Oreochromis niloticus: one gene and its partners. The protein of the gene in region 1 binds, or shares a complex with, the protein of each later gene. Links are inferred from orthologs where the notes say so. Each region holds a gene or a part of one and is shown in the gene's direction. Other genes may lie near its edges. The genes, in order: map2k1, ksr2 and ksr1a.

What was found.
Region 2: the proteins of map2k1 (region 1) and ksr2 are in contact, whole or in part, in a crystal structure (PDB 7UMB), measured with the Homo sapiens proteins. The link is inferred for Oreochromis niloticus from reciprocal best matches to the Homo sapiens genes MAP2K1 and KSR2. Residues at the interface, in NP_002746.1 of Homo sapiens: Val81, Glu102, Met219, Ala220, Asn221, Ser222, Phe223, Val224, Gly225, Thr226, Arg227, Ser228, Met230, Arg234, Leu235, Gln236, Gly237, Met308, Ala309, Ile310, Phe311, Glu312, Leu314, Asp315, Val318, Asn319; in NP_775869.4 of Homo sapiens: Lys674, Arg818, Asp820, Lys821, Leu822, Arg823, Ile824, Gln825, Asn826, Ile837, Arg838, Gln839, Leu840, Ser841, Pro842, Gln877, Pro878, Ala879, Glu880, Ala881, Ile883, Trp884, Gln885, Gly887, Thr888, Met890.
Region 3: the proteins of map2k1 (region 1) and ksr1a are in contact, whole or in part, in a crystal structure (PDB 9AXH), measured with the Homo sapiens proteins. The link is inferred for Oreochromis niloticus from reciprocal best matches to the Homo sapiens genes MAP2K1 and KSR1. Residues at the interface, in NP_002746.1 of Homo sapiens: Asp217, Ala220, Asn221, Ser222, Phe223, Val224, Gly225, Thr226, Arg227, Ser228, Met230, Arg234, Leu235, Gln236, Gly237, Met308, Ala309, Ile310, Phe311, Leu314, Asp315, Val318, Asn319; in XP_011523731.1 of Homo sapiens: Asn767, Gln768, Leu769, Lys770, Leu771, Ser772, His773, Leu776, Val784, Arg785, Met787, Thr788, Pro789, Asn823, Gln824, Ala825, Ala826, Glu827, Ala828, Ser829, Ile830, Trp831, Gln832, Gly834, Ser835.

What each region holds. Positions count from the first base shown.
Region 1 is NC_031972.2:51,630,647-51,638,439, reverse strand, and holds the start of map2k1 (dual specificity mitogen-activated protein kinase kinase 1), read left to right. Parts: upstream 1-4,723; 5' UTR 4,724-4,946; coding exon 4,947-5,029; intron 5,030-7,793. UniProt on the Homo sapiens protein: Dual specificity protein kinase which acts as an essential component of the MAP kinase signal transduction pathway.
Region 2 is NC_031977.2:30,125,226-30,133,142, reverse strand, and holds the start of ksr2 (kinase suppressor of Ras 2), read left to right. Parts: upstream 1-4,813; 5' UTR 4,814-6,242; coding exon 6,243-6,416; intron 6,417-7,917. Other genes in the region: rfc5 (replication factor C subunit 5), read right to left, coding at 181-258, 546-675, 1,147-1,228, 1,864-2,023, 2,526-2,599, 2,723-2,802, 2,911-3,047, 3,361-3,425 and 1 more. UniProt on the Homo sapiens protein: Location-regulated scaffold connecting MEK to RAF. Has very low protein kinase activity and can phosphorylate MAP2K1 at several Ser and Thr residues with very low efficiency (in vitro).
Region 3 is NC_031975.2:7,566,030-7,573,333, reverse strand, and holds the start of ksr1a (kinase suppressor of Ras 1), read left to right. Parts: upstream 1-4,238; 5' UTR 4,239-4,559; coding exon 4,560-4,769; intron 4,770-7,304.

The sequences.
Region 1 (7,793 bases):
GACAGATCTAAGATAGACAGATCTAAAAGTCTTTTTATTCTGTTTGAGTTCATTCAGAGCAGCCAGACATTAGATGTTCTATTGTCTCTTCTTATTTGCCACATATTCAGTGTTTGTTTACTTCCACTTTTTAAAAGTTGTCACATTTGTCAAGGACATTGAATTGGTGCCATGTTTCAAGATCTTGTTTCAGTTCAATTCAGTTCAGCCTCATCTTTTCAATAGCAGTTGGTCTTAATGTATTGATCTTAAGCAGGAATAATGAGCCCTTCAGTTTCTGACTGTAAGCCTGCTGTTTTAAGCCAGCAGCTTGTTTGGTCCACATCTCTGCCATTTATTCATTTCAAATACTGTCCGGAGCATTTTCTTCCCATTTTCTCTTTCATTGTTATAGGGTTTGATGTTTGCCTGCCATTTCTGCTTAGCTGGTGGTTGGCTCATTTTCCATTAGTTGTATCTTTGGCATATTGAGCTCTCTTTTGAATATAACGGCTTCATTAGTGCAGTGATAATGATTTTTTTTTTTTTTTTGTAGTTCTTTCACTATCTTTAGCTTTGTTAAGGAGATTGTCTTCTTTATTTTTGAGGTATGTGTCCAATGTTTTTGTTTTGTTAGTAAGGCCTCTTCCATCTAATGTCTTTAGAGGGTACAGGACATCTTTTCTATCCATCGATCCATCTCATCCTATTCGGGGTCACAGGAAGACTGGAGCCGAATACAGCTGTCAGAGGGAGTAAGTTGTGGTACACCCTAAACAGGTTGCCAGTCTATTGCAGTGGTAACACAGAGACACAGATTCACAGTGACTCGAACAGCCAATTAAGGAATCACCAACTAAACTTCCCCATTGTATTTTATTTTTCCCTGAAATGTTCTTATTTTGGACAGAGTTGAATACTTTCTTGTGGTCAACCAAAAGGAGTAAGATTATTTCTTTTCCCAGTCTTAATCGCCTTCATTATGGCTTTATTAAGTTAAGCCATAATTAAGTAGTTGATCTACATAACTCCTACATAACTACAGTATTTTTGTTTTAGTGCTAGCAAGTTGTTGTCCACCAGATTCTTGTAGGATCTGGCTATTGGTATTCATTTTAAAGTCTTATACAGTGTAGGATTAAGTAGTACCACTTGTTAGCCGACTGCATTAGTCGGGCACTAACAATAAGGAGGCCATCCTTCATGGTTTTCTATGATCGTGTCAGGTTTTCATGTAGTGCTGTTGTTTTAGCCAGAAGCTTGTTACGCCATAATTCCCCAGGGTCTCCCAGTTTCTGGATTTTTCGGATAGCTGTTGTTGTTGCCTCCACTGTTATTTCTGGCTTGTTCACATGTATCTTTGTTTTTTCAAAGGCCTTTATCAACTCAACATTTTCATTATGATGTTCTTCTTTTTCCCAGATATTAGTCCAAATGTTTTGACAGTTTGTTGTTTTTTTTTAAATTAAAATCTGGTATTTCCATGATTATAATATCCTCTTCTTTTAATTCTTGGTGAAACTTTTTTGTTTTTACTTATGAACTCTTCTTTTCCATTTCTTGACATTATTTCCTCGAGTGATTTCAGTGAATATTCAACTTTCACTTCTTGTCTTTTGGTTTTCTTCTTCAATTTATTTTTTTTTCCATTGTCTCTGTTTTGTTTCCTTGTGTCCCCTCCTCCTAATTTTTATGCCTAAGATGTCACTGACTGCAGAGGCAGCGGCATAAAATAATTTGTTCACTTCAGCAAGGGATAGCTTATCATCAAGCCTATTCTTAGAATAGAATAGAAGAATAGAATAGCTTTTTATTGTCACTGTTACAAGAACAGTGAAAGGCAGTTTGGCATCTCTCCATGTGTGTGAAGTACACAATAGCGTAAGTATTTACACAATGACAAATTTACATTTACACAAGAAAGATATGTACAAGTTATACATACACCTGCAAACATACACGCACATACATACATATATGTATATATACATATTTGCATCCGTACATGCATACACACACATATTTCCACATACACACTTACATCTATATACATACACATACATGCCATCTAACTAGCAGGTGCATTGAGAGGTGCAGTGTGATCAGTGATATTGCACATTGAGTGGGGTGGGGGGTGCTGTTGGAACTATACTAAATAATGTTATAATAAATACAGTTTAAAGAGGTAGGGGTGTTGTTTGCATTGAAGTATAAACAGAAATACGATTTATAAATAAGGTGTAATGTCCATGAGTGTTGGCAGTGCAGTTATCCTCCAATCAGGGTGGAGGTAGGGCATGTTTGACAGCCTGTGGGTAAAAACTTCTGTTGAGTCTGTTTGTCTTCGACCTGATGGACCTGTAGCGTTTACCAGAGGGAAGGGGGGAAAAAAGTGAGTGTCCAGGGTGTGAGGGGTCTTTAATGATGATGCTGGCTTTCTGCTGAAGTCTGCCAGTATAGATGTCTCTGAGGGGAGTTAGTGAGGTGCCGATTGCCCGCTCTGCTGCCCTCACCACCCGCTGCAGTTTCCTCTTGTCCTCCGCAGTGCAGCAGTTGAACCAGAGTGTGCAGCAGTAAGTCAGAAGGCTCTCAATGGTGGAGCGGTAGAAGTTTACTAGCAGTCTTTGGGGTAATTGAGCCTGACGTAGTTTCCTGAGGAAGTACAGCCTTTGTTGTGCTTTCCCTACCTGGTGGGAGATGTTTGTGGACCAGGTAAGGTCGGCCGAGATGTGGACTCCGAGAAACTTGAAGCTTTCTACCCTTTCTACCTCCTCCCCATCAATGTAGAGGGTAGAGTGCTCAGATCGCTTTGTTCTTCTGAAGTCGATTACCATCTCCTTGGTCTTGGCTGTGTTCAGATGCAGGTTGTTGTCGTCACACCATTGCTTCAGATGCTGAACCTCCTCTCTGTACGCTGAATCATTGTTGTTGTCGATCAGTCCTATGACAGTGGTGTCATCAGCAAATTTTATAATGGTGTTACTGGTGTGGATAGGTGAACAGTCATGGGTGAAAAGTGAGTATAGGAGGGGACTGAGGACACACCCCTGTGGGACACCCACATTCAGAATGAGGGTGGAGGAGGTGTGCTCTCCCATTCTTACGTTCTGGGGTCTGTTGCTCAGGAAGTCCAGTATCCAGCTGCACAGTGAGCTGCTGAGTCCTAAGTTGCTTAGTTTATTAACCAGTTTGTGGGGTTGAACTGTATTGAAGGCAGAGCTGAAGTCCACAAACAGCATTCTCACATAGGTGTTACTACAGTCCAGGTGTGTGAGGGCTGTGTGAAGAGCTGTTATTATGGCGTCCTCTGTCGACCTGTTTGCCCTGTATGCAAACTGGTGTGGATCGAGGTTTGCAGGGATGGCAGCTTTAATGTGTGACATGATGAGCTGTTCGAAACATTTGGCAATTATGGGTGTTAAAGCAACTGGACGATAGTCATTCAAGCAGCTCACTGTGTTCTTCTTGGGCACTGGAACGATGGTGGCTGACTTAAGGCAGGATGGTACTACAGACTGTAGCAGTGAGAGGTTGAAGATGGTGGCCATGATTAATAGCCATGGCTATTAATAGCCATTAATAGCCATGATTGCTCTATTAGTTATTTGTAATGCTGATTTTGCATGCCTGTCACATTTAATCTTTAGCATTAGTGGTCTTTCATCAGTGTTTCTTTTACAGTCTCCCATTTTCTCAGTATGTTGTTTACCATTTCCTCTACTTTTTCATCAGCACTGTGTTGCATTTGGGTGGTCTGATTCATTTGGTTGGTTTACTTCATCGCTCTGCTCATTTTCCTCAGCACTTAATGCTGCAACATTGTTTTCTTGGTGATTCACATCTCTTCCCCGCTCTTGAGATGCTTCATCTTTTATCCTTTGAATTTCAGTCTCTGTCAGTCTCGTTTTTAATAACGTCCCTTCTGTTGTTTGCAAGGTTATTAGTGGTCATATGAGGTCTTGAAATACACTTCCATCACATATTTTTACTTTTTTTGTCACCATTTAGTTCTAGCTGGTTTTTGATGGTTTTCAGGGAGTCCATTTTGTGGGCCCTCATAAGCATCATACTTATTGCTTAGTGGGGTGATTGTCATTTGCTTGCTGGTTAGAGTTTGTTCCAGTAGCAGACTGTGTGGTTCCCTGTGGAGGAAAGTAGTCCTTTTTTATGTTATGGTAATCTATTAGGTTTTTATGCCATTTTGGACAATGATAGTCAGAGCCTGTTATGTAATATTTTACCATATTTAACATTGGCCATGTTAAATGTGGCCGAAGTTTCGAATAAAGAGGCCAGTATATGTATGAGTAATCCCTGTGAGCCAAAAACTCAGATTTCAGACTACTTTAAGTGCCTGGTTTCAGATAATTTATGTCACTGAGAGTGGATACCCCTGAAAGCACACAGCTCTGGGCCCACCCAATTGTTATTAGAACTTTCAGTTTAGGAGGGGCAGCCAATCCGAAGAAAGAGGCTAAAATGACATGTTTCAAACAGTTTTTAGGATGAAGTGAGTGACTGCATTTCTTATAAATAAAGATAATTTTTGAAAAATGCAAAGCTACTCTAGTTTTGGCTAATATGCTCCCTTTAGTGGAGCGCTTAATTCCCGCCTTCCTGCTCGTTTAAATGAAACTTTAGTAACAGCATGGTAATACCGCCTATCACCAGCAGAGGGAGAGCTGCAGCAAGCCCAGCCACGCTTTCCGGAAGACCAATGAAAATATTTTGTGACGTTTCATTCACCTCCACCCATTAAGAAGAAATCAGCTGCTCAGCCTTGCAGTTCATTACAACCCTTGCCTGTTTCTTCCCTTGTCAGTCACTGCCGATAAACAGTGTCTTCTTAATATCAGATACCTCTTCTGTATCGGGCTTCCGTCTACACTGCTGCAGCTCGTGTGTTGATTTGTTGTTGTTGTTATATATATATTTTTTTTTACACCAGCTTGTTTCTTGCACGTAACATGCAGAAGAGAAGGAAGCCTGAGCCGATCCAACTCAACCCCATCCCTGATGGAAACACTATCAACGGCAGCGGAGCCACAGAGTGAGTGTCAATATTAATCTGCTTCTGATATCCAGATAGGGGAATGTAGTACACAGATAACTGCTTTCTGATACATAACCTGATGTATGTTGGATTCGGTATGACAGCAGCCAATACCGTATGTGTGTGTGCTCGAGTACTCTGCACCAAGTATTTGAGCTTGTCCTCTACTGCAACTATTGATCACTGGCATTGTTATCAGTTGCTGTACTGAGAAAATGAAATATTTTTAAATCTGAAAAGTTACTGACACATGCCCATTAATGGTTCCTCAAATAGCTTATGTGGTTTGGGTTGCATGTTGCATTTTTATAGGTTACAGCATTGATTGATTGATTAATTCATTAGATTTACTCTTCAAGCACAATCCAAGACACACAGATACTCCGTTCAAACTGAAATAAAACAGGGAATAAACAGAGGTTGATCACATTGATAATTTTTTGGCTCTAGAAAATGCTTGAATGTTGTTAAAACAGCCACTAAATCATAATTCAGTAGACTTCAGTGGACTATTTGTTACACACTAATCAGCTATCAAATAGTTAAAGAAGTTTAATTTATAATGATGTAAAATGGAGAAAACTGGAAACTCATTTCACTTTATCATTTCAAGTGCTAAATAGCTGTCAAAATCCTCATGATTTCATTCATTTTTCCTGTTTTACTTCACATTTTCACAAATTATTGTTGTTACTGTGTTTCTCATTATAATATTTCTGTAACATCCGGCTGTCAAGTCCTCTTCGTGGTGTCATGGATGGACAGGTCTCCTTGTTACTCTCACAGCCCACTTGGTGTGATTAGTCAGAGTTAGAGCTTTCCAGCGAGGCAGCACACAGAATTATATTTCTGTCTGCTGAAGAAGTTCTGCAAAGTCCTGCTCCCACCATTGTTTGACAAAACACAGTAATGGAGACATAAAATTGTTTTGACATCCTCCTCTAGCCCTCAGTTTGCTGAGAAAAGCCCAGTGAGTCCTGCAACAAGCTGGATCAGTGGAGATGAGAGTTACATAACATGTCATCGGTTATGATGGCTGCTTTTCTGATGCGTTGTAGAGTCTGAATATATCATTGTTTCGTTGTTAGAGCACACATCTGAAGGCCATCTGTGTCTTTGGCAATGAATTAAAGACTAAAAAAAATGACACTGAGTCATGTTTGAATACCATTTTGCATTAAGCAATGGTAATTTTAAAGCAACAAGAAAGATTTTTTTTTTAATGTGTCCACTAGTCCACCACATTAAGATTTACAAAATACAAAAAAACATTAAAAAAAACAGGAAGGAATATACTTTAAGAAGTTTTCAGTAAGATACAAATTAGAGTAGTAGAAATGTAAAAGTGAGGCCAAAGGTCAAATGACATGACATTTGGATACAAACTATAATGTGGTATTTAAAATCCCCATAAACCAGTATCATTTCTTAACTGTTCCCAGTATTTGAATTTGTAGCATAGCTTGAAAGATGAAATACATTTTATAAAATTTTAACCAGTAAGACACATAGTTTTAAAAATAGCTCTAAAGATCACTATTATCACTTTGACCTTCAGATTAATCTATTGACCTTGGAGAGGTCAAAGGTCATAAGTGACATATTTAAAATCTTTACACAGTATATACAATACACTCTATATGTTGACAATACATGTCACACATGCCATAGGTGTAAAACTTATAGGGCTTTTGTCAGTTTTTGCCCAACAAATCATTTGGTTGACCTTGAAGACCTTGGTGGATGTAAGCCAAATTTGAATGGATTGTTAACATGACCCCACTCTACACCCCTACAAAGTTTTATCAGAATTCATTCAAAACCTTTTGAGTTATCATGTTTATTGATGCAAGGAATGAGACATGTAAATGCTACCAAAAACAGAACCTCCTCTTCTGATTTTTAAAGATTCAGTTTACTTTTAGCCAAGGGCAGATGTTTGACTTTAGCTTGCTTTGATGGAAAGTCTGCTGTAGTTTGAATTCTATTATACTGAATGTAAAGATCTTTTCACTATTAAAATATATATCGGCTGATAATCATGTACATGTAATCCCTGTGAACCTAAAGCTAAGGCTGCTGCAAACATTTTGTTTTTCATTCCTTCTGCCTGGTTGATGTCAATAAGGCAGGAATGTCCTTATATGGGCACAGAAAGAGCCCAAGAATCACCTGAACCTGAACCATTTTTCTTCAGTGTTCTACTTAAGAGTTATCTGCAAGTTCTAGAGCTTGACCAAATACCTTCTTAGTTGCGAAGGAGTGCTAAAAGAGAAAGAAAGAAGGAAAACTGTTTATTTATTTATACATTCTTGTGACATCAAAATGAGCCCAATGCTTATTGAGTAACTCTGATGAAATCCGTTTTGCTGTGGATGTTGTCGCTGTCTGCTCTGTTCTGGATCAGATTTTGAGCTCCAACATGTATGCAAGAATGTGAAAAGTGGACATTGTGTAGGTTTTGTATGTTGGTTTCAGAATTTCTACACTACTGATCAAGCAGGAGAACAACACAAAAGTGGGCTTTTAGAAAGAGGGGCTTTATAGGGACGGGAGCTAAAATGGCTTTTTTTCAGACTGTGAATGAAGTGAGGAGATGCATGAAGGGCTGGTGTACGATGAAAGGGGATTGTATTGAATTGTGAATTGTGTAAAGCTGTAGTAGAGTTAAGGTATGACGTCAGGTACAGTGGTTAGCACTGTTGCCTCGCAGCACATGAATCTTGCGATTGGCTTGCGCCTTCCTTTTTAGAGTTTGCAT
Region 2 (7,917 bases), on another chromosome or scaffold:
CTGCGCCAAATACTTTATGGTTAGGGCAGGTCTGTGAGCACAGCAACCCCATCCACCTGTTCAAACCTTATGTTTGCGAGAGGCAGCCAATCAAAAGTTGGCATAAAAGGAGGATGGCTTTTGTGCTGGGGTGCTTGAATTAAAGAAAGAAAGAAAAACGTGGGATTTTCTTTTTCTTACCTCTGTGTACAAGCAGATGAACCTCAGTGAGAATATCATGCAAAGCCAAACCTTTCAAAGTCTTCAGCTCGAGGATTTCTGTCATCAATGTGTTAAAGAAATGCAAGATCATAAACTGTACTACTAATATGAGTTTTTTTTGTTAACCCACCATTAAAAAAAAGTCACTGAATCCTGAAAAACATTTGCAAAGCATTTAGGTACAGCTAGCTTCTATTAACCTGAAGTTTTATCATTTGCAAGGAGGAAACGTTCTTTCTTGGAATATGGAATATGCTAAACTTCATAAGAAATCTACAGAGCATAAAAAGGGATAGTCAAAAACAGAAAATGTGCAAGTTTCATAGAACTTAAATATAGGATACGGTTGTATGCTGAAGTAAAATCTTTGTTGAGGCACCAGTCGAGGATGTTGGCTATGTCTGAGCGGAGGGGGTGCCCTGTGCAGGTGTACACTGTGTCTTCTGTGACCTTCCCGTAGGCCATACTTGTGCTCTGAAATCACAGAGATGGGTAAACTGTACTGCATGTCATCCATCGGCAGTTTGGATATATAACATATACTACTCATCGGCCACTTCATTAGATATGCCCGTTTGACTTCATCTCATCTCAGACTGGTTTCTTGAACATGATAATAAATTTATTGTATGTAAATGGCCTCCACATTCACCAAATCACAATCCAATAGAGCACCTTTGGGATATATATTGGATGCGAAATGTACTTGAGATTTATATCCTGAATGTGAAGCAGAAAAATCTGAAGCAACTGTGTGGACCAACATCTCTCAGGAATGGCACAAAGAAATAAGGCAGCTCTGAAGGCAAAATGGGAGTCCACCCCAGCACCAGACGGTGTAACTAATGAAGTGGCCAGTGGCTATATTTTGCCTGTTTTAAAACGGTCACACTGAATATGACATCCACATCTTAAACAGAGCCGATGATGAACTTCTGGCCATACCTGCAGTATGTTGAGCGATCTTCTCATGTCACCTGTTGATAAGGTCACGATACCCTTCATTCCATCTGGCGTGATGTCAATACTGTCACAAAAAGTAATGACATAATCAACTATTTTTAAATCATATCAAAGTTAAATTAAAACTTGCGACATGAACACATAACTGATGACATTTAATAAATAGAGCAATCAAAAATAGTTCCAAGTCCGTTCATTAATTTCTTCCATCTCAAGTTACATGTACCAATAAATGTGAAACAATGAGAAAATTCATTTCCTATTGTGGTATTTGTTGGTTTTTCAGGGCTTGGTACAGTTGAGAGGACAGGGTTGATGTTGCCCCCTGATTTAAACTGTTTTCAAACACACAGAGAAGCCCTAAACTTCTAAAAATTACCCAACAGAAACGTAACATAAGAACAAAGACTCTAGATTTTAAACAACCTTTAATGTGGTTGGTATTATGTCTGTCTCTAAACTACCATAAAAATAGAGAATGTTCATTTAGAAGGAAATGAACAAACTTATAAATTCAGCAGGGGATCAAATAATTATTTCTCTCACTATAGGCAGACTAGCGGAGCCCAGTGGAGGCCAACAGGTACAAATACATTTGTCAAGTTCATTAGCAATTCTGGGAATAATTCAATGAGATGTAAAAACAAAAACGAAAAAAACAACAGTAAGTGGAGAGAAAGCATTCACACATTAACTCACTTCTCCTGCTGGATAACGTGCTCCAACCGAGGGATCATCTGGTCTGGCGAAAGGGGACCAAAGCGGAACCTGGTGCAGCGAGATTGCAGGGCGGGGATGATCTTGGACAGGTAGTTGCAAATGAGACAGAATCGAGTGTTTTCTGTGAACTTCTCAATGACTGAGACAGAGAGCAAGGGTGGGATGAAAGCAGGGAAACAAGTTTAAAATGTAAATTCTGGCAACATCTTAGTCAATAAAAAAAAAAAATCCACTTTTTTGAATAATCTATCCTAAGTACTTGCTAAATGTTGCTAAGATTGTGCAGGACACTCGTAAACCACCTCATTGAGAATTTAGAATTGACAGTAATATACTAATAATACCATCCACTGTTCCTTCACCATGCATCTATTTAGAACTATAAAACAGCACTGCACAGCAATAGATGCTTTATAAATGAAATATGGAAACATTATTAGAAAAACACAGGTTGGACTAAATTTACAAAATATTTTACAGTTAAATTCAATAATTATTTCCACTCTTCTGGAAAGCAAAGCTTTTTAAATAAATATCCAGGTTTAAAAGTAGATACACTGTAAGTCAGCAGCAGCCAAATTGCCTGCTCACTGAGCCGTGTGCCTCACAGTGGGTAGTGCCTGAACGAACAGATGGCTTACCTCGACGCAATGCATTCTGGGCATCCTGGGTCATGGCATCGGCCTCGTCTAGTATCACCAACTTGAAGCCCTTCCTGAAGGACAAGATAAATAAAAAAAGGCAGCAGCTTACATTTCCACTGCACTTCTTAACTGCATGTAAAAGTACTGAGAACACTTATTTCTGATCAAAATCTCTATAAGTGTTTTAGTCTTACTTGAAGATGGTCCTGGTGCTGGCAAAACTCAGAATGGGACCTCGTACTACATCAATACCTCTGTCATCAGATGCATTGAGCTATAAAGCAAAATTAATTATATTTTAATGTAAAATGGCAGAGTTACAAGTTAAAAAACCTTTACAATTCAGCAAATCCAAATCTTCTAATGAGGAGTTGTAACATACCTCCAACACCATAGAGTTGAACTCCTTCTCTTTGTACAGCTGCCTGGCACAAGCGAGTATGGTTGAGGTTTTTCCCGTTCCAGGTGGGCCGTAGAACAAAAGGTGCGGAAGCTTGTCCTCACTGATAAACCTTTGGACTGGAAATAAAAAGAACAAATGAAAATCAGTTTAAATACAAGTGACCGACGTTTCTTTAACAATCCACATATGCACCCCCCTTGAATAGTTCTATAAATTTGAAACACAAAAGTTTTAAGCAAGTTGACTCAGTACCATGACTCATTAATGACAGTGACGGTATAACCACAGTAAACAAGCTCAGGAGTCAAAAACACTGACAGATAGCATTGAGTTTATCAGTTTATTAAGGTTTAAAAGTAGTTTGCTTATCCATAAGTGTCATGTTATACAGTTTTATAGTACTGTTATTCTGGCAGTCCACATACTTACTAGTGCTCAGAATATCTTTGTGTGAAATCAGATCATCAAGTGTCTGTGGTCTGTATTTTTCAACCCTGAAACAGGAAAACACACACACGCATTCATACTTGCGATAACTACTGAGTTTACAGCATGGCAAATAAGCAACCTCGAATGAATTTTAAAGCAAATTATTGAAACGTCTACGGATACATATGATAAGCGCTGACAAACGTTGACATATCCCATTACAGATGCCCACTTTTTAGTTCGGCATCCTTATTTTTTTTCGTAATATCACCCTTTATTATAAACAAAACGTCAACCTTACAGCACTTTCACCGCAGTCAGAAGCTGCAGGTTTTCGGTTAACCTGTTGCTGAAGTGGCACCATGTTAATGCTTGATGGACTGATAAGATTTATGTAAGCCGAACTGAAGATAAGTTCATTTCCTTCCATTTTACAAATATGCGTAATAACTAACGTCATTTCTAAATGTACATAAAGCTATCAGTTCACAGAATGCATCAGTCTACTCAGTGCAGTGAGCAGCTAGCTTGACAGTAGGCATGTTAGCTAGCTAGCAATAACTTTTTGAACCATTCTGTGATAAACAGCGACTTTCAGCTCACCATGGTAAATTTCTGGTCTGTAGCGGCGCTTTACTTGTAGAAGCCATGTATCCTACCAAGCGTGAATTTTACGCCAAGCTGAGCTAAAGGGTTCCAGAGTTTAAGCCACTGCGATTACTACTGTTGATGGCCCTGTTTGGCGCGCTCCGCAAACAAAACGTACGTCACACGTCACCACGTACAACCAATGAAATCACATTGTCGTTTTCATGGGCGGAGTATCGGTGACTCGTTCTCTTCTGTAAAAAGTAATAACGGGATTTAGAAATTGTAACAATAAAAGATACACAATATCAAACATCATAAAAACGAAGGTATATGTCTCCTCTTTCATTTTTAAATATTGTCTCTCCCATTTTGAACAATTCCTTTCCTTAATCAGTGAAAATGAAAATCAAACTCAGCAGTAGATTTTTTGTTTTTTTATCCAACAGCAAGAACTAGAAGTCTTTAAAGATGGCATATGGTACTGAAGTCTGAATCACCAATTTAAACAAAAGAAAAAAAGTATTCTGGCTATCTTGATTTTTAAAATAAAAGTCACTTGCACTAAACGTCTTGTTAAATTTTAAAAAAAATAAAATAAAGTCTACTCCTTTCCTTCTTAGATGTAGTTTGTTCACTTTTATACGACACTGACATCTTAATCTCATTATAGTTTATCTTTGTAAGCTTCACAATTGTTCTTGCAAAATAGAGTCTTTTAATATTTAACCATCTTAAAACATGACAAAGAGTGTCAGAAATGTTTTCTACATTTTTTTGCATTTATTTTCTGTTACATGTGGAATATTTTCTTCTGGTAATGGTGCTGACAGTAAAATACACATATCTGTCCATATCTCAAAAAGTGCAGTGTGCCCATATATTTATCTAGAGCCTGAATTTGAAATATTACCTAACCTTATACTTTACACAACAGGTTTCTCTGAAACATTTTCTTGATCATCATGGGTTAGTGAAAAAAAGCTGTGAGCACACAAGTACACAAGATTTTGTGTACCATCTCCTATCTCTTTAATCGTCTTGACTTCTCAGATTTGTTGCTGGAAACCTCCAAAGCATCCTGATTCCCAGGCTGCATTATACTGCATCAGTCAAGGATAATGATTTAATATCACAGCCTGCATTTTGACAGCATTCAATCCTTAATGTTTGGTTTATATATTTTTTTTTTTTTGCAATTGCTGTTTTTGAACAATCCAGTTTCTATTTGTAATGTCTGCATTATAACCTATATTCTAACTGAGGAGCTTCACTGTGATCAAGATCTCTTCTGCAAATTAAAACTGAGCACAGAGGAAGAAGAAATGAGATAAGGCACACAATAAAAAACAGAAGATTCCACTCACATGCAAACATCATCAGGCATAGTACAGAGTTGTCTAACTAGGCCAAAAATTAAATGTCACACACGAATCAATGGAAAAGAATATTTGTTCTTCCATTTAACTTTAAAGCATATTTAAATCATTTTCTAGAAATATTTTGAAGTGTTTGTAGCTGTTGACTGCAGGCTATATAAGTGTCTTGGATGTGAGTGCACACAGCATGAGCCTGTAATAAACTAATAGAATCATACATATTCAGTAAAAGGACATCTTTGTTTCAAACATGTAAAGAGGGATAGTTTTGTCCCTAACCCTAGCCTGGCGTTTCAAGCATATTAAGCTCTCTGCCCTGCTCTGTAATCTCGCGAGAACGGCCCCTCACGGTGGTGCCTGGGCGATGCGATGCTGTTGCTGTGGGTTTGATTGACAGGAAACATGTCGGTGTGGTGGGAGAGAACCGGGATGCAGCTGCTGCCTAGGGAGACAGGGAGTACCTGCATCCAGTCCGCACATCAGCACCTTTAAAACCAGCAGGCTTTTCCCCGACGCGTCTACTTATGGTGCGCTGAACAGCTTCTTCTTCTTCTTTTTCTTTTTTTTTTCAAACATACATTTGAAAGAAGTGGAACCCAATGGATGCAGACCGCGTAGTCCCGCTTGGTATCTTCATACTGTGTTTGATTTAGCCCACAACCAGAGACACCTTGATGAAACAGCAGGAACTACGAGGACTGTTGTTGCAATGGAGTCGACTCTCTCACGGCTCAAAGCCCGTCTCTAAACCTTCAACATCTCGTTTCATGGCGTTTTGCAGGTTGCTCCGTTCCGTGGGTTTCACCACGCTCCTTTCTTGAATAATCATCAATATTTTTTTCCCCTTGTTTTTGAATTAATTCATTCCTTTTTTGTTAAGTGCAGCGGAAAAAAACGTCCACTGTTCACAAAACTATGAACGAGGAGATGACAAAAAGCGAGGAGCAGCATCTTAGTTTGCAGAAAGCCTTGCAGCAGTGCGAGTTGGTGCAAAATATGATAGACATAAGCATTTCTAGTTTGGAGGGTTTACGGACCAAATGTGCCACATCCAACGACTTGACACAAAAAGAGATACGAACGCTGGAGGTAAGCACCCTTTGAGCGGAATCATCGGATTTCTGCTGTGCATCTACATCCAAATCAATATGGGGGGGTGGCGGGCTGCCGCCGTTTGTTATTTATTTCAAGGCCACTATGCATAATTTTTATGTGTCTTTTCTACGGCAGACTGCTTTTCTGCTGCCACTGCATAAATATGCAACGATTTCAGCTAAAGCCCACTGCTATCTGTTTTGTGCAGTGCAATAAATCAAGAGGCCAAGGGGCTGCAGTGAGCTGTTATAGACTTGCGCATTCTGCAGGTGGCGGGGAGAGAAGGTGGCTCTTCTCCACCAGAATAATATCTGAGGCAGCCGAGGCCTATAGGCAGCCCGTGTTTACAATCCATTAGCAATATGCCAGCCTGCGCATCTGTTCTCGCAGCCAGGCCCTGCGTTATGCAAGGCTGGCAGATTACTGAAATTGTTACAAAATATCGTTATCCGTTAATTGGCCCGTGGGGTATTCCGTAAATTGCGTTACGTAATGGTCATGTTGTGTGTTGAGATATCAGGCTGCCCTTTTTGAGACTACTTAGACCAGTCGAATAAACCCCTTACCACTGACAGGCTGTTACAGGACATAAAGATGCCATAAAGTGCGATAAGCTCACTGCAAACTCACTATAGCCTATTGAGCACTGCAGACACAGCACGGCATTTAGGGCCTATAAGAATGTTATTGTGATGTCTCATGAGATTGAAACAAATACCATTAAGTGATAAGGTCTCCATAAACTCACCACTAAGTCTTTGTGTGCGCCATCAACAGACTTTAAGTCCTAGTGGGAGAATAATTAAGATACTACGTTAACAAAATACCAAGAAATCACTTGTGAGTGGCACACACTTAATCTCATCCCCACAGGAATATGAGACTGTGCATAACACATAAACATATTGCAAAGTATTCATGTCTGAGCTGTTAAATGGAGTTTGCAAGTGCTGGACAGGGGACAGGAATGTAATCCAAGTGAAGAAATAACTAAATATATAAAGTGCAAATGCTCTGCCAGCAATGAGCAGGCTACACTGTGAAGATAAGTGTTCACTATGTTCCCTGCATGCTTTGCAAAGCGCTTTCGGTACTGGATTACTAGTTATAAGCATTATGGGGTATTATTTTTATTTCACCAGTAAAATTAGCCTGACAAATTTTTGTGAATGGATTTATCAGAAAGATTTTATTGATTGTGTCATGGTTTGACCTATTTCTCCAAACTTAAGAAGGGTAAGGATATCCTTTTTAATTTGCCTAAACCAAAAGTTAGGATATACCCAAGCTATGTGTTCAGTTCTTTTCAGAAAATTTTGGCATCCATTATTAGCATGTTTGTAGCAACTGTGCTGCATGGCTAATACCTGTATGAAAAGGACACGTTAGTTGAAGGAAAAATAATCTTCTCTCAGAAGCTGAGTTAAAGGATTGTATTTGGAGTGCAAGAAACACCACTTTCTCTGTCATTTTAAAATTATGCTTAACTTCAGTC
Region 3 (7,304 bases), on another chromosome or scaffold:
AAGAGAATATATGCTTTTAAAAATATATATATATGTGAATAACAAAAGACTGGAAAGTTACAAAATTCTTAAGAATGAGTTTCCCACCAGTGGAACATCTCACAACTAATTATCCTAAATAGAAACAGGACTGGGTGAAATAACAGAGGAGCTCTCAGAGCTTTTCCAAAGTAAAGTTGTGGAGTGGGTCATCAAGTTGTGAGGCTTTGTGGGCACATAGGCCAACAATTTAAAATTTTATGGACGCTTAAAGGTTTCATCATCTACAGAAGTGTCATTAAAGAAGAAAAACTGGACTGAAAGGCTAAAAGACTCATACTTAATTGATCCTTCAAGTTACACTAAAACTGAAATCTTTTTTAGGAAATCACAGAAGTTGCATTCATGGATAAAGAGAGAGACCATCTGGCTCAATAGCCAGCATCTGTGACGGTATCTGCGCACATGGTATGAGTAATTTGTAAATCTGTGAAGGTCCCATTAATGCTGTGAACAATATATACAGGTTTGGGAGCCACATATGCTGCCATTCAGGGAAGAACTTGCTTATTTCAACAAGACAATACCAAACTACACTCTGCGGGACACAACAACAAAAAGATCTCATGGTGAAGGAGTTCAGGTGAACTCTCCTGCCTGTAATCCAGAAACTGTTATCTAATGAAAACATTTATGATTGGATAAATACTACTGGGTTAAATAAATAGCCTGACTTGTGATGTTTTGTCTCACTGATGTAAAAAAATCGTGTTTGTGCAGAATTATAGAAAATTCTCAAGGGTTTACAAAGCTATGTGCACCTGGGATAAGTATCCAAACAGTGCAATGAGACAAGTGTCTTGTTAGCTGTGCTGCAGGCCTCATGGGCAGGCTTTCCAGGTCAGAGGTCGTGGGTCTTAAATGCTCTTTTTGGGGCTCACCCTCCGAAGACCTGAACGGATGCCTGCTGGGAATCCTGGCTAGCAAAGGAGATGGAATTAGATTGTCTACAGTCTAATTTAATCTAAAGCCGGGAGCTCCGTGCTGTGTGTTGTGTCTTGGCTGTCCAATAGTACAACAGTTTAAAGGGCTTAAGAGACCATGAGGCTGTGAAAGAATCATGTCGTCCTCAGCTCTCTGAGTTGTGTCAAGCGAGCTGACCATTGTACTTATGCTCCACTAAGATACTTGTGGGATTTCTTACATGATGTACAGTGTTATTTCAATGGCCAGTCATTTTCAAGTATCATTTAAAATGGAAACAAAATCTTGGAAAAAAAAACTGCAGCAAAAACAGAACACAGAGAGGAGGAACAAATGGTGAGACTGATTTTTCTTTTTTTGTTGTCCTTAGCAACACGGTACATGTTTCATGAGAAAGAGCGCAATTGAAGTAAAAACAAAACTGCTCAAAATTCACCTTTTTTGTCATATGTGAGTTTAACAGTTATGTCATTATATTTCGAAACACAGAATAGCCATCTTTTCCATTTTGCTTGGTATGTTTGATTAAAAGAGCACGTCCTCGATAAGAGAAACTTTTAGCATACTAGTATTGTTTTCTTTGTAAAGCCCTTATTACAATGATCCCTCTGTTACTGCTTTGTAACTTGATTTTGAAAGCAGAGAGGAGCTGAAATTGGCGTGGTGTCCTGCTGGCATTTCATCATCAAATCTGTGCTGTTAATACAGCAAGGCTGAATTCACAAAGTGGTGGACCAACAACAACAATAGCTTGAGAGTGAGACTTTGTGTCTGTTTCATTCCATTACAGGAAGGCTGTTACATGTACTTCTAATATATTTGTGAGAAAGTAACAGTGCCGCCTTGAAAAGATAAGACAATTCAACAAGCTGCTTAGTTTAATCGACTTACATTTTAATATTTCATATAGCAATCTAAGCTTGTCGGATTTCCTAGTAAGTCTCTTTTGTGTTTCAGTCAGGATTTAGGTCTGTCCAACTTGACATGTGTTGTTTGCGAGTAAATATTGATTAAACTTCAAACATAAAGAGACTACTTATCAGCGTCACCTTTCTTAACCCATGATTCTAAATGTAAGAACTCGCATATACTGTATGTGCATTAATAAACATAACATTTTAATACAACCAGGTTACAGATTATTTTAAGTCGAACCAAAGTTGTTCATTTTGACTTTAATAGCTTCAAGTGATTTGAGGCCGACTCAGTGGTGTACGAAAACAGCCAGAGTGAGGTTTCTAATCCCTCTACGTGGTTTTTCACTTCTGCACTGTCTGATTTCTATGTGCTACCATGTGCAGCTGATATTTGGACTGGTGTAAGACACAGTTACATTTTCCCTGCAAATCAGAAGAGGAGAAGAGACAGACAGATGGAGGAGAAGGAACAGAGGGCTCCATGAGAAGTGACTCACGTTCCATTGTATAATCAGGGTATATTAAAGGAAGGAACATCACACCCTCATTGCAGCAATAAGCCATGTGTACTGCTACTTAACGGTTGTGGAAACCTGCAAATTCATCCCACCCCCACAGATATAATATGCACTGTCCTGATATGAGGACAGACGACCTACCTCGGCTTCGACTTTGCAGTAACAAATTGTTATTCCTTCATTTCTGCCTCCATGCATTCTATGGCTTTCGTTGCTCTGTGAGGACGACAATAAAATCACTTTTTTAGTCTCATTTGTGCCAAATATGCATATAAAAATATACTAAATATCCACATATCCTTTATTCTCTGGGTGTAAAGCTCATTTTTACTCAAAGTACACCTTGTATATTTCACTACATGCAGTTATGATGTTGCCTACAGTCTGTGAGCTTGATCAGATGAACTGACGATTCGGCACTGATTCACAGTCTTTGCTAAAGCGTGTAAGGAAAGTAAATACAAGGAATACGGGAATATACTAGTCGACACTCTTTTAATCATATTGCTAAATTTCCTATCCAAATAGTTCTTCTGGTGCATCAGCTTTGCTCCACACAGTATAATGACAGTGTATGGAGCTGCAAGTGAGGTGAAAGGTGGTGATTATTCTTGGTGTCCAAAGCTACTCTGGAATTGCCCTGCCTCTCTGTACGGATCTGCAATCAGAATAGAAAAAGTGGGAGTATGCTGAGGCCTGGATGTCCTCGTAGCACCACAGCAGTATATTTTGCATTATTTTGCAGTTCCTTTAGTATCTGCTTTGCTGCCGAAAAGCGATTTCCACTATTTGCTAAAATGACCTGCTGGACTATAATCTGTCAAACATATCTATAATGAATGATGTCAAGTCATTTTGAAACACAAAGATCATTCCTGTTACAAGGTAGGAGCTATACAAAGTGATTTACATCATCTTTATTTATCCAGGTACATTGGGGTTTTAGGCCTTTTTTTGGGGGGGGGGGGGACACTTAGCATCCCTAAATTGCACTAAAAAATTACAGTAGTAAAGTAATATTCATGTTTTTTGCTATTACTGAATGTTATATTTTGCCAACCTTTCTATTGGAGTGGGTGCAGGTTACGGTGAAAACAGATTTAAATGTCCACAGTTGTTGATGTCGTGATGTTACAGTGCACTCACACTGAGGTTTTTAAGTAGAAGTAAGAGATAAGTAGTTGCGTAAGTAAGATGGGCTGTCTTTATATGGTTAAGAGACTGAAACAGCACATTTCTCCTCTCACTCGCTTTTCTACAAATAGTTCTTTAACTTATTTCTCAAAATTCTGGAGAACATCATTGAGCCTAAAGGCCTTTACACAGACACGTATACTGTATGCATTACATTATGATTGGAGGCTGAGCCCCCCCCCCCCCCTAAAGGTTTCATCCTAGAATCGCCCCTGCATTTAGGCTTCTCTACCTCTGACCCTGCATACTTATCTTCTCCCAGCTGAAAAATTGTCACAGTAGGAGAAGCACGGATATTTAAAACAACAAAAACCCTGATAAGTGCCAGTAAGCCACGTGACAGTGGATCAGCCTGCAGTATATCAAAACAGTTTAATGCAATTAAGCCGTCGTTAATTGTATTATTAATACGCTTTTCCTACCTTGCAATACAACAAAAAAATAAATTAAAATAAATAGGAGGACACCCGGATGAAGCCAAGTTACTTTAATACTTCTCAAAACCTTCATTTTCTTCATTCGCTTTCTTGCGTGAGCAACGAACGGACGACAGAGGAGTGCACGTTGGTGTAACCTATATGACTTCATTTCCCAGATTGCACCGCGCTCCATGATGTTCCCAACAGCTGACAGACGGTGGAAGCCTCTGTCAGAGCTGTGTCGGTGGAAGCTTTGAGTATCCTCTCAGTCGAGCCTCACTGGACTTTGGACCCGGGTCACCGTCGAGCACCTTATTTTGATCTCTGTCAACATTTTTGTTTGCACGGAGGGCTTCCATTTCTTTTCTTTTCTTTTTCTTTCTTTTTTTTTTTCCAGATTCGGAGCTGGGGACAATTGCTGTCAGCTAACTTCCACAATAGGTCGCTGCGTCGCCGGACTGCTGCATATGTTTGATTTATTTTTATTTGACATTTTTTTAGCTTAACACTTTAACTCCAGCCCTTCCAGCCGTGCCCAATGCCGAGGAATGGATAGTGTGTCTGCTAAAGGCGGAAAGATGGTCGAGAGTGATGAGCAGCCGGAGAGGGATAGCGGCGGTGGCGCAGCGATGGCCGCGCTACATCAGTGCGAACTGATCCAGAATATGATTGATATCTCCATCTCCAGCTTACAGGGGCTACGCACCAAATGCGCCGCCACCAACGACCTCACACAGCAGGAAATACGAACTTTAGAGGTAATGAGCTTCCCCCTCTCCTCCTCCTGCTCCCGAGCACGGGCTCAGTGCATAAGCCCCGTCCGGAGATAGAAAGCAGTGTAGCCAAATTGCGGAGTCATGAAGCCCCAGCGCTATGTCCGCCTCCCAGGCTGAATATTGGCTGGGGCGCCCTATCAGTGTCAGTGAGCCGAGCACATTTTGTCGCTTTACGGGCTACTGCTGGCTCACTGTGTAGAGGTGACTCAAAAATAAACATTAAAAAACCAAAACAATAAAAGGAACTCATAATGAAGTTTTGCTTTGTCCCATTCGGTTTTACCATCCCTCTAGAATATTCCAAAGAAGAAGAAGATCTTTATTTGCCCGGAGCTCTTCGGATAGTTCCAAACACCGTGCCGTGCAGCTGTATTGAGCTTGGCCTCATGGCACACATTCAATAGCCTCTGACGGCTGTTATTTATATAGATATATGTATATGTTCGTGTATGGCGCTCTACACTTGGTTTTGCCTCCATACAGTGGGGCCTGTGAGACAAATACAAATGTACGACGCGATCCATGTGGTTACCCCCCCCCATCCAGCAGGCAAAGGCTGGTGTGCTGCTGCTGCTGCTCTCCTGCATCTGGATGCAGATTCACCTACGTCGTGCGGGGATGACTTGACATTGCTTTGCGCGTTGCTCTTTTGGAGCAACATATCCTACTATAGCAGGCGGCACGGTGGAGAAGTCATGCCTGGTGGCGTGCAGGCGTCAGCACAGGACGCACGCTATATTGCTCTCACTTCGCATGTTTGAGGAAAATTCAAATGAGGGACGGGGGAGTGCGTTTTTTTTTTTCGGTTTACCACATAATGATAACTGATACATGCGAAACATAGTTATACATATAGCAGTCGTTTCAACAAAAGGGCCAGTTTTTTGTTTGTTTTTTTATCTCAGGCCTGGATGTTGCTGAGGAGGGTGATGGGAAGAGGAGGGGGGGGTGCTGTGGCATATAAATGGCTGATACAGACAGTATATTTTGATGAGGCTTGGAGATGTGGAAAACAGTTGAATATTACAAGTTCAAAGCCTTCAAATGTCACGGTGACATCCTGGAGACATGATAGATGATGGGGGTTTTCTGGTTCATGGTTTATTTAAAGCCTTGTACCTTAGCTAAAAGGAATATTCACTCCTGATTGGCTAGAGGCTATCAATTATCCATGTCTCCTTTATTTCTGTATAACCAAACACCCCGTGAACAACTGGGCTGTTGCCCTACATAAAAAAAAACACCTAAAAAACCCCCCTAATGCTCCAAAAGGCAAGTATTGCTTTCTTTTCAGCCTCACAGTGATACAGTGAGCTAGTTTTTCAGAAATACTTAGCGCGGTCCAGGATTGCTGCTAATGAAGGAAAAAGCCCCTTAAACCACAGGTTACACTGTGTCCGTAACCTCTTTAGAATCACAAATACAAATATCACCAGCAAGGCCGGGGGGGGTAATAATTTACCCAAAAGCAAAGGAGAGATGACTGAGCTGTTTTATGGACTCAGCTGCAGCTTTTTATCCAGTTTGAGAATACTGTATGATTCTCTATAAAATAATTTAGTTGCTCCCTCACTGGCTGACAGGCATCAGGTGCGAGTTGGCAGCTATTCTGTGCGGGAACAAATTTTTGCAGGCTCAAGTAAAGAAGCCTGGTGTTAAATGAATATTCAAATTCTTCAACTCAAATAGAAACCAAAGCAAATCAGTTTGGAAATTTGTAGTTTTTCTGTTCAGTCCCACCTGTATATGTATATGTGTGTATATATGTGATCAAACCTGGGCCTGAGCTGAGCTGGATAAATGGGTTCAAAACAAAGAGTGCAAAGCGAATCCTGCTCCACATTTTCACCCCCTCTTCATCGGTGGTCATGCGTACCTTGTTTCTGCAACAGGATGTGATCTGGCAGAGTACTTCCTGAGAAATGCTGTCATGTGGACACATTTTGCACCAGCATTGTTCTACATGACAATGGACAGGCCGTGCCGCTCTCACATGTTTCTTGAAGGCTCCTGGGTCTCTTTCCTGCGCCTATGAGACCGTTATTAGGGGGTGTCTCTGAAAGTCAGAAGTGCAAGCAGTGGATGTGGTTACCTCCAGTCAAAGTTTGCTGCTTTATAGACCTCGCAAGCTTTCAGGATCCTTTCCTGCTGTAGGATCAGAATCAGAAATTGAACAGGGAGGGGAAGGGGAGATAAAAAAGTGCATCAGTCTGCGCTTCATTAGCTGATTTTATGCCTCAGTTGTATGTGTGTGTGTCATTGTATTTTTTCTTATTTCCACTGATTCTAGCTGTACTTTTGTTTGATTGTTTAAACTGCTTCAGCGACTAGTGGGCAGTGAGCTCACGGTGCAGCTGTTCATACACGCTGCGTTGTTACTGCAAGTGGCAGCATAAAGATAAAAAAATCTGACAATAATCGACTTGTCTGAGAACACGTGACTCGTAATATCTTAGATCACAGCTCTAGTGGAAAAGTGCAGTCACCTCTTGGGTTCCTTTGTGTAATTCTTTGCCA